2 linked regions of the Ovis aries genome follow. The protein of the gene in region 2 interacts with the protein of the main gene of each other region in a pairwise test. Links are inferred from orthologs where the notes say so. Each region holds a gene or a part of one and is shown on either strand. Other genes may lie near its edges.

Region 1 (7,519 bases), on a different chromosome or scaffold from region 2:
CCTCCGTCACAGAAAGGAGGGAGTCGGGACATGAGAGGAAAAGCCACGTTCCACTGTCAAGCTACACATTAACGGTGCCTCCAGGTCTATTCCTGAGCACATCTAAAATCAGCAAGAGCCCAGGTGAGAAAGACCAGGTTCCCTCCCCTGAGTCAAAATCCCCTGATGCTCTTTCATGTTCCTCTGCCTCCCAGGGCCACAATTCCAGTCCCTTCTGCCTCTGCAGTCACCACAGACCAGATTATGTTGGGCCCTCTTTGGCTCCATCTCCACCCAGAAGTAGCACCTCTACATCCTGGACTGAGGGCCTAGGGGGCTTCATCTTTACCACCACACTCCCCAACCTGAGCCATTGTGTGTTGACTGGGCTCAGCGAGGGACCTCTGTACCAGCTTCACCTACCAGCATCCAGTGGTGACCTTCTCACCAAGCTCTGGTGCCAAATGCTGAAACACAAAATGGCCTGATTATATAAGAAGTGCTCTTCTGGGAAGGGGAAGACCAAAAGATCTAGTGAATCATAGCAAGAAGGCATGGGTAGGGCCTGGGCTCCTTATATCTATCATCTCTAACTTGGGCCTCAAATCATTCACAAAGTAGGCAGTTGTAAGAAAATTGTTCAGATGTCAGCTTAGAGGCTCATTAGGGGAAGAGATTCAGCTAGGATCACCCAGGAGCAAAATGACAGCATGGGGGCCAAGCTCTGCTCTTTCTAGACAGGCTAGAGAGGAAAACCGTGCAGAGCTCAGCAGACACCTGATTGTAGGGCCACACTGCCACTTACCGCTCTAATATTTGCATTAAAAAAAGTTTGCTTTTTGAAAATATGTAGGTATTAAAAACTGCTCTTGGTAAAACACACACACACACACACACAACTTGGGATAGATCAAGTTGGTATGCTGTGAAAAGTCAGCAGCTGTAACATTTCATGATTCAATGCATAAAATATGTTGAGTTCCTCAGCTGAATAAGTAGTATAAACAAATACTTTCTCTTTTTTTTAAAAGATACAGGGCGGGTGTTGCCATAATCTAAGGACCTCTTTGCTGTTCTCAGCCAGTGTTCACCTGAAGGCCAAAAATGCTCTTTTTAAAAAAGCACTTAGCCTTTTACTTTTTTAGAATTTAGGCAGAAAGTCTGAGCATGTGAGAACACTAAGCGAGGCAAATGCAGAAGTTGCCTCTGCTGATACAACCAGCGGATCAACGACACTGGGTGTTAGTGAAATACCCCGCTCTCCTAGAGGAGAGGGGAGGAAACCACAGAATGTTCCTGACTCAGCACCCCAGCCTGATGGCGCAATATTTGTGTTTGTGTGGTGCTGCCGGGGATCGGGAGGTCGGAGGGCTTCACTAGGGCCCAGGATGAGGGTGACCTTATGGAGGTCTCCCCAAACCTTTGTCCAGGTCCTGTAAATCCTCTTAAAATGCTGTAGGATTATATTTCAAGACCAGCTCACGTTGATGGCAAGAACCAGGGCCCTGGGGCTGGACGGTGCTCCGGTTCCCAGTTGCAGTCCCCAGCCCGGCGCTTAGTAGGCGCTCAATCAGTACATGTTTGGGGACTAAAAGAAAATCCCCAGGAAAAGGGAATGGTAACCCACTCCAGTATTCTTGCCTGGGAAATTCTATGGACAGAGGAGCCTGGTGGGCTCCAGTCCATGAGGTCGCAAAGAATCTGAAGAAACCACCACAAAGAGATGAAGCCGCTGAGACTTAAGAAAACGCGAGCAGAAGAAAGGTGTCTGGCGGTCCCTGCGGGGGCGCTGTCGATCCGCACTGGGCGGGGGGTCGCCTCACTAAAAGCCGGACGTCCGCAATCCACAACCGCACCTTGCGGCCCCCACCCTCATTTCAGACCCCTGACCCGCCTTCCTCGGCTCACAACCACGTAAGGACCACATGACTAGGATTGACATTTTTCTGCTTGGGGTTTGGTTGGACCGCATTTTACTTGTTAAATGTACATTTTAAAGTAACAGGAAAGCCTGGGGAACAGGAATGTATTTCCCTGAACACCTCCACCCCAACCTACCCCGGTTGTTCTTGAGCGGACAAACTCAATTTTTCTCCGACCCTCATTTCAGTCTCCCCTCGGCCCGCTCACCCCCAGCAGTGCGATACTGGGCAAGTATAATAAATCGCTTCTCCTCGGGAACCCGTGTTTCCTCGCCTGCTGGGTACGGGGAAATGAGAGAAAGGGGCGCCTGTGTATCCAGTAACAAAGGAGACCCCTTTCGGCTCCGGTCGGCGGAGGAGCGGGCGCCGGGACGCGGCGCGGTGGAGGGGGTGGAAAGGGGGAGGCGGGGGCCCATGGCACGCGGCCCGCTCCCAGGCACTCGCACACGGGAGTCAGCCCTCGGCTGGCAGAGCGCCCACCCTCTCCCCTCCCCGCTGGGCCCGGAGAGTGGCCCGGACCAGCTCCCTAGGGACGCGCCAGGCGCAGGCTGGACGGCCGGGCGGAGGCCGAAGCCCGAGCCAGAGCTTAGCCAGCGGACCCCACTCGGAGGCCGCTGACGTCTTCGCCTTTGGCTGCTCCGGCGCCAAACCCGGCAAGGCGGGTGACGTCACCACACCAGTCACGTGACCGTCATTCAAACAAACAATCCCCTCCCCCACAGCGCGCGCGCGCGCGCGCCCCGCCCCGCGCCGCCCCGCTTGCTTACGCGGAGCCACAATATAAACGCTCTCCGCCGGCTCGGACTCGCTGCGAAAGACTTCGGGGCCCTGGGCGAATCGCGGGTGGAAGGGCCGTCGGGAGAGCAACAAGGAAGCCGAGGCGGTCGAGAGTCCCACACGGCGACCCCTCGCTCGGTCCAAAGGCAGTTTGGGTTTGGCGCAAAGAAAACCGGGGTCGGGCTTTTCCTCGAAAGCCATCGCCCTGCTGTTCGCTTCCCGGGACAAAGAACGTAGGACGACTTGCACGCTGGGGGCGCTGGGGCCGGCCATGGTCATGGAAGTGGTCTCCCTGGACGCCGGAGGCCTCCGGACGCTGCTGCGGGAGCGCGCGGCGCAGTGCCTGCTGTTGGACTGTCGCTCCTTCTTCGCTTTCAACGCCGGCCACATCGCCGGCTCGGTCAACGTGCGCTTCAGCACCATTGTGCGTCGGCGGGCCAAGGGCGCCATGGGTCTGGAGCACATCGTGCCCAACGCCGAGCTGCGCGGCCGCCTGCTGGCCGGCGCCTACCACGCAGTGGTGCTGCTGGACGAGCGCAGCGCCGCGCTGGACTGCGCCAAGCGCGACGGCACCCTGGCGCTGGCCGCCGGCGCGCTCTGCCGCGAGGCGCGCAGCGCGCAAATCTTTTTGCTCAAAGGTACGCCTTCGGGGACGCTCAGGGGCGGGCCTCACGCCCTCCGCCGCCTAGTCTGGGGACCCCTGGTTCTCAGCTGCGGGGGGTGCTGCTCCACCTGAGAGCTTGGACGCCTGAGTCGCATTGTGGGGACTTGTTGGCTTTGTTTGGCTCTAGGAACAAAGACTCGCCTGGGGCTCCCCGGGCTAAACTTCCAGCTCTGGTGGATGAGGAAGTTGTATGAAGGTACCCTGTCTCGGCGGTACTAATGAAAAATATGTGTCTCTTTGTGTTCCCAGGAGGATATGAAGCTTTTTCTGCTTCCTACCCGGAGCTGTGCAGCAAACAGTCGACCCCCATGGGGCTCAGCCTTCCCCTGAGTACTAGTGTCCCTGACAGCGCTGAATCGGGGTGCAGTTCCTGCAGCACCCCGCTCTACGATCAGGTTAGTAGGGGGCTGTGCCGGAGGGGAGAAGGAAGAGCTGGCAAAGGTGGCAGAGCCGCGCTAGTGAAAATATAGAAAGTGACGTGCAGCTTTATTTATAACAGGGGACACAGGAGATTTCATTTATCCCGTGGTTACATGGCATGATGGAGCCGAGCCTGTAATTGTTGGCACTACAGAAATTAGCTTGTTGGCCCTGCCTAGGCAAATGGGTTTAGTCCCTTATTTATTGACACTCTTAACAGTGCTGTGAGGTTCACCCAATATTGAAACTAACTTATCCAGGAGGGAGGTTTTGTGGATGTGGGCACCACCATTGCCGTTGAACAAAGCTTGACAAGCGTTGGATGTTTCTGGATTTCAGGGTGGCCCAGTGGAGATCCTGCCCTTTCTGTACCTGGGCAGTGCCTATCATGCTTCCCGCAAGGACATGCTGGATGCCTTGGGCATCACTGCCTTGATCAACGTCTCTGCAAACTGTCCCAACCATTTCGAGGGTCACTACCAGTACAAGAGCATCCCCGTGGAGGACAACCACAAGGCAGACATCAGCTCCTGGTTCAATGAGGCAATTGACTTCATAGGTAAGTGGAGCAGATGCCTGGGACTTTGCCACACTCCTTCTGTTTCAGTGACTGAGACTAAATTCCATGGCAAGAACTTGAGCAACATAGATTTAAGCTTTCCTCTAGACATTAAAATCAGTCTGGCATGGGCAGCATCCCTGCAAAGTACAGTTTCGATGTCCCACTTTATAAATTAGCAAACTGAATCTCAGGTTGAATTGATCTGTCCAATATCAATCTGCTTAGTGGCGATGCCTTGCCTGGGTTTAAATCCCCGGCTGTTTAAATCCACTGTGCCCACATTGCCTTCATGGACAGTATGTCTGTGATGACATGAGGTGATATCGACCATACTGGACAGGACACATGTGGCATTTCTTAGACACCTGGGGTTGGTTGGAGTTATTCTCCTGGGCTCTCAAATAACCAGCTGCCCTTTGTTTTCCAGACTCCATCAAGAATGCTGGTGGAAGGGTGTTTGTCCACTGTCAGGCGGGCATTTCCCGATCGGCCACCATCTGCCTCGCTTACCTCATGAGGACTAACCGAGTCAAGCTGGATGAGGCCTTTGAGTTCGTGAAGCAGAGGAGAAGCATCATCTCCCCCAACTTCAGCTTCATGGGCCAGCTGCTGCAGTTTGAGTCGCAGGTCCTGGCCCCCCACTGCTCGGCAGAGGCGGGGAGCCCCGCCATGGCTGTGCTTGACTGCAGCACCTCCACCACCACTGTCTTCAACTTCCCGGTCTCCATTCCCGTCCACCCCACAAACAGTGCATTGAGCTACCTTCAGAGCCCTATCACGACCTCTCCCAGCTGCTGAAAAGCCACGGGAGGTGATCTTCACAACCCACCGGGATTCCAGGCTCCTGGAAAGTGGAAATGCAATAACTCCAGGGAAGGGGGCTCGTGAGGGCTGGTCTTTATTTATTTAATTTCACCCAAGTTCCACTGGGTTCCTGAGCAGTTGTAATGATGACTTCACGCCAAGATGTTTGCTGAACTCAGCACATTTCGGGACCAACATACAGTGCGTACATCAAGTCCCTCGGACAGAAAGGGGCAGAAGAGAGAGGACTCAAGTGTGAGAGCCGATTTCTCTTTTTGTCCCTGTTTTCTGAAGACACTTTTCATGCTTGACATACCTACCAGTATTACCATTCCCGACAACGCATATACATATGAGAATATACTTTGTTTTATTTATTTTTGTGTAGGCGGTCCACCTTCACAAATGTCAGTGTCTACTCCTAGAAGAACCAAATACCTCAATTTTTGTGTTTGAGTACTGTAATATCCTGTAAATATATCCTAAGCAGGTTTGTTTTCAACACTGGAAAGCACCAGTGTTGATTTTGTTTTGTTTTTTAAGTTGCCAACAGTTGTATGTTTGCTGATTATTTATGACCTGAAATAATATATATCTTCTTCTAAGAAGACATTTTGTTACATAAGGATGACTTTTTTATACAACAGAATAAATTATGGCATTTCTATTGAAATCTCGATGCTTTTCTTGGTCAGCCCTCTGATTCCTTTCCCATAACTGGAATAGGGGAAAACAAGGTCCTTCAGAATATGTTTTGGCATCTGATCCCATACTCCTTGGTGGCCCCCCAGTCCCATGAGATGGCTGGGTTGCCAGGGTGGTAGAGAAATGTGATCAATTATTTTTAAAAAGTACTAGAACCTGCTCTTGGTAATGAATTCGAGTGTCTGCCTATGTTTTTCCCAACATGTCACACAGGGAACCCAAGTGTACCCAGAGCCAAAACTAGGAATAAGTGGCCCATATGCTTGGTTGCTTTTTTCATTTAATACCTTCCCCCAGGTTAATCTTAAAAAGCCTCCTCCCCTCCTCTGATCTCTACTAAAGAGATAAAGATAGTTTCTCAGTAGGCTTGGCACAAGTGTGTTTCTACCATGTGCAAGGTGGGCTGTGCTTACCCCAGAACAACTCAGCAAGATCTGTAAAGGATAGAGACCCAGCATAGCTAAGGAACACAAGTGGGGGAGTTGGGCCCTGTGTCTGTTTTGTTTCCTAATTTTATGGCCTTTTTATTTCATAACTTGCTCCTCACGTGCTCTTTTTCTTTTGAAAAGACCTTTATTAATTATGAAAGGAATACTGAGCACAGTAAGCCAATACAATGCAGACAAGTCACCTGGAGCCCCCACCCCAGCCTGACCCTTACTGTTTTGGAGCCCGTTCCCTGGGCATCTCCGCATCTGTACCCAGCATTTTTGGTGGCAGCCTCCTTCAGGTCACTTGCTGCCCTGATTTCATAATTTTGTTGAAGAAGATAGACAATTAAATCTGGCTTGCTCTAGGGCAATATTCTGGATTTTCACTGTCTTGCCAAACAGCCCGAAACAGAGAAGGTGTAATTGACTACTAACCCGTAGCCCAGTCTTTAATGCTGAATTAAACAACAGAGAAGCTTCTGGATTGCTGGCCCCTTAGCCTCTGCATTCCTTTGTTTCTGGATAAAGTGCTGTAGGAAGCCAGAAAGCAAACAGCGTAGTTTTCCAGGGGTTCCCAGAGTAGTGGTCTTGGTCCAGGCCCATTGTTCAAGGCCTTGACCTTTCTCCACTGGGTCACCATGCACCGCTTGACTCCCAGCGCCAGGAAGATTTCTTTTCCCTGCTCTGAGAACTTACCCTGGGCCGGCAAGTTCATTTCCTCGACTGGGCTTCCGATTACAAGTGTTCACGCCTTTCAAAACAAACCATATCCAACTTTGTTTTGTTTTGTTTTGTTTTTTATCAAACCCTAGACATTTACTATTGCAAATATCTCCCTTCGTGGAAGCATACCAGCGACTTCAAGTCCACGGCAGATGCCATGGCTGCCATCACTGTGGGCTTGGGCCATCGCTTTCTGCTTGGCAGGCATCGGCTGAACCAGAATTAATCTCCAATGTGATCCACACAGTGGAAAAATACAGTGGCTGCCTAAGGGAAACGCCAGTGAAAACAATTCACTCACGTATCCCAGGGCAAGCTACTTAACCTCCCTCCAGCCACGATAGCCAGCATTATAATAGCCCCTCCTCTATGTGTGTTCAGTTCCTGGTCTTCAGGCCCTCCAGAAAATGTCACTTTGGGCCTGAGACTGCTTTTCTTAGGAAGGATGAAGTGAAGTGAAGTGAAGTTGCTCAGTTCATGTCTGACTCTTTGCGACCATGGACCGTAGCCCACCAGGCCTCTGTCCATGGGA
Region 2 (7,722 bases):
TCTATAGTTCCTTTTGGAGAAGGAAATGGCAACCCACTCCAGTGTTCTTACCTGGAGAATCCTATGGACGGAGGGGCCTGATGGGCTACAGTTTATGGGGTTGCAAAGAGTCAGACACGACTAAGCAACTAGTACACACACATATACCCCTTTCACTGATTAAGAGTCAGGAAAGTCACCTCTGCACACTCTATAATGACATTCTTTTATTTATTTGTGCCCTGGCTCTTTTTTTTTTTCCCCAAGATTTAAAATGATGAGTGGCTATTAATACTAAAAAACTTAGCTTCACTTATCTTTACTACATTTATTTTCACAAAGCATTTTGGATGTTGAATTTGACCTCTTAGTAAATTTTGCCATTCTTTTACCAAAGTTTTGGTATATACTTTATATACTGATGATAAATATAAACAGCACAGAACAATGCCCAGAACATAGAAAGCAATCCATAAAATGCAGTTATTATTCACATCACACTATACACCTACCAGGGAATGAACTGTCTTTGTCTTGTTTAACAGTCTAGCTCAAGAAACCTAGCCTGCTATCTGGTCCATGAGTGTGTGAAGTCATTTTAGGCATGTCCGACTCTTTGCAACCCTATGGACTGAGGCCCACCAGGCTCCTCTGTCCATGGGGAGTCTCCAGGCAAGAATACTGGAGTGGTTTACCATTTCTTCCTCCACAGGCTCTTCCCCACCCAGGGATCAAACTTGTGTCTCTTGCACTGGCAGGCGGGTGGGTTCCTTACCACTAGCACCACCTGGGACGCCCCTAAAGATGTGTGCGTGCTAAGCTGCTGGTCCATAGTTGGTGCTCAATAAATATTACTTAATAAGTGATTCAATATGGTTTAAGAATAATTCTGATCTCTTACCTGTTTTATGGTTACCACTGCCGCACCTCCTATAATCAAAGGCAAGAGTCTGGAAAACGCATACACCAGAGGAAGGGCATTTAAGTTCCTGTTTATATTTCCTTAAACTCACCACAAAGATCCTCCCCCGCCCCTTTCGTCCCTAAACCACAAAATCAATGCTTTGCAACACCGTACTCTTGAACAATTTTGCTTCATTTCCCCTCACTGACAGCGCACCAAGTTCCTTAAAGCTGCAAGCTTTAGTTTAGTTCCCTTTACCCCTTAAGAAGGAAAGGTATGTTTGTAAAACTCTAATACTCAAAGTTCTATTTTGATTTCTTGATCTTTCATTCACGATTAGTTATCATACTTGCGTTACTAGATACTTAGTACAAATGAAAACACTGAAAATTGGCTTATTATTTAATTTTTAAAGTTAACACATCAAAGTGTATCACACTTCAGAGCAATCAAATTAGGAAACTGACACATTATTTCAGTGATGTTGCATTCCTTGAAATACTTTCAGAGATTCTTTTTTGGAACAGACTTCAATCCAGTTCTACAAGTCCCACAGGAAATTCTGTGTCATTACTTTACGGTTACAACTCCTATTTGACCTCAAACAGTATCACCAGCCTGGCTGCCTGATCTTTTTCACCAGACTTGAGCCCAAATTCTCTAAATGATTTGGATTCAATCTAACTTCGTTATTTCCTAAAATCAAATCTGCTCTAAAAAAAAAATGAAGAGAGTGAAAAATAACACAGGCTCCAAAGTGGATTCTAAGAGAAGTTTAAAAAACATTTTTTTTTTCTGCCACACCTAAAAGCTGCTGACTGAAAGAACAACTTGAAATAACTACTCTGAATGAGATAACACATGTGAATGTAAATTCTGATATTTTCAATCCAAAATCAACTATACTTGTTTACGGTCAACTGTCACATAATATTGGTTATTTTTCTCCACCAATATGTTATAGGTTACACCTTAAACAACCTTAGCAGAACTGCCTCCACAGAAAGACACACAAGAAACTTAACAGGGGTGGTCTCTTGAGAAAAGAACTAGTCCAGCTGGACAAAGAGAATGGAAACTTTTCACTGTCTTTCTATGCCTTTTACATTTTATACAATGTGAATGTACTACCTACTTTTAAAAACCTGTTTAACAAAATTACTTCCAAGTGTCAGTTTTGATGGCTTCTATAAACCAGAAAAATAAAGCACTAAAAAATGTGGAGTTCATGTTTTATCAGCACTTCACTGGATCTCCAGTGCCAGGGCTGAGTTACTCACATCAACTGTAGGGAAACCTTGCAAGCAGTTCACTAACTCCCCACAGTTGAGCCGTATCACTCCACTAAAGTTTAAACAACAATGATAGGAAACAAAAATTCAGTACCACAAAAATTAATGTGTCAATTCCAGAATGAAAACTGGCCGTAAACAAGTGAGCTATTAAAGCAGCAATGATCCAAACACATCTTCGAAAATTAGCGAATCAACAGCACGCTATAAAAATGGAAAAAAGATGTCAAGCATAGGGCCATCAGCGACATCACTCAAGCAGCCTGAACTAGAAAACGCAATATGATCTGTTGCTGGACACAATTGCACAATCTCAATTACCCAGAAGATTCTACCAAACAGGAAATTCATGCTGGGGCTTTAAGAAACACAGGAATTATATTCAAAGATTACCAAGTCTAAAAGCCTGGAACCTGCCCCGAAACAAAAAACTAATTTTGTAGACCTCTTTGCAAATAATGCATGCACAGGAATTACATGAATTAGCTTCAGGTCAGCTCTCAAATTACACAAAATCTAAAATACAGTGTATAAAACCTTAGAAGTTAGAAAAGTTAGTGAACTGAGTCTGGAAATTTTACAGTAGCGTTTCATTTAAAAGACATTCATAGTGTGAATTAAAGCTGAAAAGTGTCTCTTCCTTCTTTTGCTATATATTCCATATCCCATGAAAACCATTATGTACCTCTCAGGCCTTAAGTGCAGATTAAGTTCTCTGCAAACCCTCTAAAGGACTTTAAAAACACAGTGTTTCACAAGAATTATCACGATTAAAAAATATTTATAATACATCGCAGCATTGTTAAAAACTTTTTGATCTTGAGGGCGTCCAACGGATCTGAACCTCACTTGCTCCAAAGGAGAAAATCGTTTTGTCAAACAATACTTAAATGAGCAGTGGTATGTGACTAATCAGCGAGGCCGCCAGCTTCTCAAGCTGCAGGCACTACCACCACCCCCCACTCTGCGAAAAGGAAATACGCTTTCAACTGAATCGGAAACACACCACTCAAGCTGGCACAGGGCTCACCGAGATAAAGTCGGTATTTTAAGCTCCCTGGATAGCTGCTAATTCAAGTGCGAATTCAAAAAGAACCCTTCTCAAAATGCAATTTCGACAGAGGTTTGCAAAAAAGCCCGAACTCAACGCCCTTCGTCCTCAGTTTTGTTCAGATGACCGCAGTCGAGCTTTGCCCTTCTGCTTCTCCGGGCAGCTTCCCGGGCTTGTCTGCTCCGAGGGCAGGCACATCTCGAGAGAGTCCTTCTGCTCGATGCCAGCAGGGAGAGACCTCCGAAGAGGGACCCCTGTTCCTGCCCCCGTAGCAGCACCGCCCCCCCACCCCCACCCCCACCCCCAAGGGAACGCGCAGGGTGCGAGTCAGGGCCCGGCTCCAACACCATCACCCACCGCCCACAGCGGACCTGCGTCCTACACACAGCTGACCATCTACGTGGGCGTGCAGGGTGGGGGTGCAAGGGGGACAGGGAGTGCAGGACAGGGGTCGAAGAGGGCTGGGATGCCCTCCCCCCAAGGAAAATTCCTGCCGCTGGGTGCATTGCTGAGCCGTGGGGGCAGGCCTGACTCCAGGGCATACGGAGACACCCGGCCCAGCGAGGCCCCCGGCCCGGTGACACTCACCACACAGAGCCATAGGCGCCGGAGCCCACCGGGGACAGGTTCTGGTAACGCTCGGGCACCTCCCAGATGGTCTTGTTCAGCTCCTGCCGGTAGAACGTGGGCCTCTCCTGAGACATCTTCCAGCGGTGGCCGCGGGGCGAGGAGGTGGCCCTTGCAGGGCCCCGCCTGCACCCGCACCCGCTTCCCCTGACCTCGTAGCCCGCCCGGCCGGGCGGGGACCCCTGCGCTGGCCGCCCGCGCAGGTGCGGCTGCGGCGACCCTGAAGAAGCCCGCGCGCGCGCGCGGCCCCTGTCAGCCGCAGCGGCTGGACGCGCCTCACCGACGGCGGGGGAAGCACTGCGAAGGGCCGGGGCACGCTCCGGGGCCCTGGGCTGGCGCCCCGCCCAGCTCTCCCTGCGCTCTCTCCACACCCGGCCGACTCCCGGCTGCGCGGCGGGGTCACAGCTCCAGCTGCAGCGCCCGCGGAGCTTCCAGTGGTCGCCTTTCCCAGAGCCAGCGAACAGGAGCCTCCCGCCGTGCTCTCGCGAGAACAGCTCCCGGACCTCTCCTCGAGCCGAGATTTTACCCAATATGGAACCTGCCCGCGGGAGGGGGGTTGATGAAGGGAGAGCTTGGGAGAAGTAATTCTCGCGAGAAGAGAGCAACAGCTGGCCCCTAGAGGCAGGAACTCCCAGGGATTGCTCTCCTTTAGCGCGCGAAGGCGGACCCGGGAAGGAGCGGAGAAGCAGACGATACAGGCCGCGCGCGCCCCATCGTGGTCGGCGGGGCAAGTGCTTGGCTCCCTGTTGGAAAGAGACAGTGACAAATCAATCGGGTGTCTGGGAAAAGAGCCAAAAGACCTTTAAACGGTGGGTAATCACCAGCAGCTGAGCACCTGCTCGGCGGAAAACCCCCAATTTCCAAGAAGTACTTGCATAAAAAAGAGAAAGATTCCGGCCAGAAAGCCGTTGTAGTCCCATCTGCTCAAGGACATACACTTACTCTTCGGAATGCTGACGAAATCTGTCTCAAAGGTAAATATTAGCCCTGAATTAAGGTTGAGGTTTTTCCACCCAGACACTTCTAGTAGTTCTCAAACTTTTACGTGCAGAAGAAGCACCTTGGGCGCTTAAAAATGAACAGCGAGTTTGATTAGATGGGTCCCAGAGGGACTCCAAGACTGTGCATTTTTACAAAATGCGCCAGGTTCAGAAAAGTTCTTGGTATCTCCCTTGGAGAAACATTTTAAAACCTTTACCCTGAAGGTTTGAAACTGATTCCTACCTTGAAGAGCTTCCAGCAAAGAGGGTTTTAAGAATTGTAATCATGCCTCTCAGAGTAAGAACAGTGCAGATAGTGGTTTTCTGGCAGTATCCTGTTGGGCAAGTCAATTGACCTTTCTTAGACCTTAGTTCCAGTTTATGCAAAAAAGAATTGCTGCCCTGAAATTTCCCACCTGAAAGCTGAACAAGATAATAAATGTGAATGGGCAAGGTATTATAACCCCATACCTTCATGTCACTATTAACTTATTCCTACCCTAAAACTTGTTTCAATAAGCAGAATTGGACCCTATCTTATTCTTGGTCATTTCTTTTAGAACTAACTGGGCTCAAGCCAGGACACTTCCCATCACTATCCATGACTATTCTCTTTTGTGTTATGCATCCCTTGAAGTGCTCAAATTTTGCCTATCTTGTCCCAGCATCTAGCTCAGGGCCTCGAACATAGAAGTTACTCCATAAGTATTTGCTGAGCAAATTATGAACAAGGACATGATCTCAACTAAGGTGGCATTGCAGGATCCTCAGCTGTCAAGGAAAAATAAAATAAAACCCAAAACAAGGGTCGTAGGTGATCTGCGGAAAGCTTTCTTTGGATTCAGTGTGACAGCCTAGATTCTCTTGCCTTAGAAGACATGTTGCTTAAAAATGTTCCAAGCCAAACTGCAGATAGTGAGCTTTCTAAGAAGTATTGGAGGTAGGAGGAAGCAAGAGCAAAAATGCAGCTGTAAAGATATGAGAGGTAAGAGTAGGGGATCAAGGTGAGTGCATGGATAAAAGGGGGAAAACTTGGAAGCTGGAATTCTAAGAAATTCATGTATTTATCCAACAAATTGGGATGATGACATGAGAGTGAGCAAAAGAATAAAGATGAGCAATACACTCACTCACTCAGCAAATATATATTGAATGCCTACTAGGTACCAGGCACTTCTAATGGGAAGTTGGTTGAAAGGCAGATAGCGGCTGCCTACGTGGAGCCTACAGTGAGTAGTGGCACAATCATTCACTTCTTCAACACAGATTTATTGAGCACTTACTAGATCTACCACATTGCTCTGGCACCAATAATACAGCAATTAAAGAAAGACATAAAAATTCCTGCCCTTCTGGGGATGAGACAGATTACAAACGGTATAGGTAGGGACTCCCTGTTGGTCCAGTGGCTCAGACTCCATGCTCCTGGAGCAGAGCCCCTGGGTTGATCCCTGGTCGGGGAACTAAATCCCACTTGCAGCTAGGAAGATGGAAGGTCCACTTACTGCAACTAAATCCTGATGCAGCTAAATAAAGACGTAAATGTATTTTTTAAAGCCGTAGGTAAAGTGAATAATATATTAGACATTACTACAGTAATCAAGCAAGTGGAAAACTGCAACTGGGCAAAGAGGGAATGCAGACACAGGGAGAGGCAGTGACAGGGACTGAGCTTCAGAAGGTTAAGGGGTCTTGGGGGGAGGAGCTGGGCAGGAGGGCGTCCTTCAGTCGGGGTTGGAGATCTCGGGGACCCTCTTAGCCTCCAGTTTCCTCCTGCGTTTTCTGTCCACAAGAGTTGTCGGGAGACTTAGGGTGCATCACTTACGCCAAGTGCGGCGCGCGAGGCCTGGCATCAAGGAGGCCCGCGGGTTCGGCCGCAACGGCTCGGGAACCGCCGGCGTCCGCGTCCGCAGCGCCGCCTGCCCGGCCGGAGCTGCCTCCGGCTCCAGCGCCCGCCCTCCCGCCGTAGCCCGGGAACCAGGTGAGCCGAGGGACCAGGGAGCCGCCCGGGGCCGGGGCTTCAGGTGGTGGCGGCGGCGGGGCCCGGGCTCCGGCGTTGGGTGCGGGGACCACTCCCCCCGGCCCCGGCGTTATACTCGGAAGTCCCCGGGCCACTGTCACCGCAGGGTCAGGCTCGTCGAGGGCACTCAGTCAGTGTTTGCGGAATGAATGAATGACTGTCCTCCCTGGGAGCTTCTCTCTCTGTGCGGTCCCTGCTTTTGAAAGTCCATGAGGAAAGACGGCGCGTGCGTTTGGCAGGCTGACTCCTTCCACACTCGTTGGTCTGAGCCGTCATAAGCCCCAGAACTGGCCTGCTGCCGGAGCCTCCCCCTGATCAACGCACCCCGCTGCCATCCTCCTCCCGAGGCTTGATGCCCAGTTGCGCGCCTTCTGCTTTTTAGACCTCACTGGTGTCGTTCTTGTTCCTTCTAACTGAGTCCCTACTCCCACCTCTCAGCCCCTTGTTCCTTTCAAGTTCTGTTGATGGATCGCAGCAGCCCCTTCTTCAACATCCCCAGCCCAACAATGAGTTTCTCTCCAGCCAGCCCATTGGTAATACTCTCACCAGGTCGCATTAAAGGCAGTTGTCTGTGTGTCGGATGGTCAGCTCCTTGAGGGCTGTCCTCTGATCATTCATCCCCAGCCACCAGACCAAGTGACGGAAACGTACTGAAAGCAATGCCCTTTGCTTGTGCCTTTCTTTTTCACATACATTCCACCATAAAAGCATAGTTAGAATGGGCAAAGGCCTGTTTTTTTCTCATGGAATTACAAATATTTATTTTGAAATTCTGAAAGTGAATTTTCCTTTCCCACGATTATAGAGAACACGTGAAAGCCGACCATATGAAAGGATAATCTTGAAACTAAGTTTCAGGATTTCACATC

Evidence for each region. The genes of interacting proteins can lie anywhere in the genome.
Region 1: the proteins of MAPK14 (region 2) and DUSP1 interact in binary tests that used the Homo sapiens proteins (3 or more experiments, as listed by UniProt). The link is inferred for Ovis aries from reciprocal best matches to the Homo sapiens genes MAPK14 and DUSP1.

The regions. Positions count from the first base shown.
Region 1 is NC_056069.1:4,707,882-4,715,400, reverse strand, and holds DUSP1 (dual specificity protein phosphatase 1), read left to right. Parts: upstream 1-2,708; 5' UTR 2,709-2,949; coding exon 2,950-3,316; intron 3,317-3,591; coding exon 3,592-3,737; intron 3,738-4,101; coding exon 4,102-4,321; intron 4,322-4,751; coding exon 4,752-5,122; 3' UTR 5,123-5,801; downstream 5,802-7,519. UniProt on the Homo sapiens protein: Dual specificity phosphatase that dephosphorylates MAP kinase MAPK1/ERK2 on both 'Thr-183' and 'Tyr-185', regulating its activity during the meiotic cell cycle.
Region 2 is NC_056073.1:10,091,025-10,098,746, reverse strand, and holds the start of MAPK14 (mitogen-activated protein kinase 14), read right to left. Parts: upstream 3,933-7,722; 5' UTR 3,931-3,932; coding exon 3,815-3,930; intron 1-3,814. UniProt on the Homo sapiens protein: Serine/threonine kinase which acts as an essential component of the MAP kinase signal transduction pathway.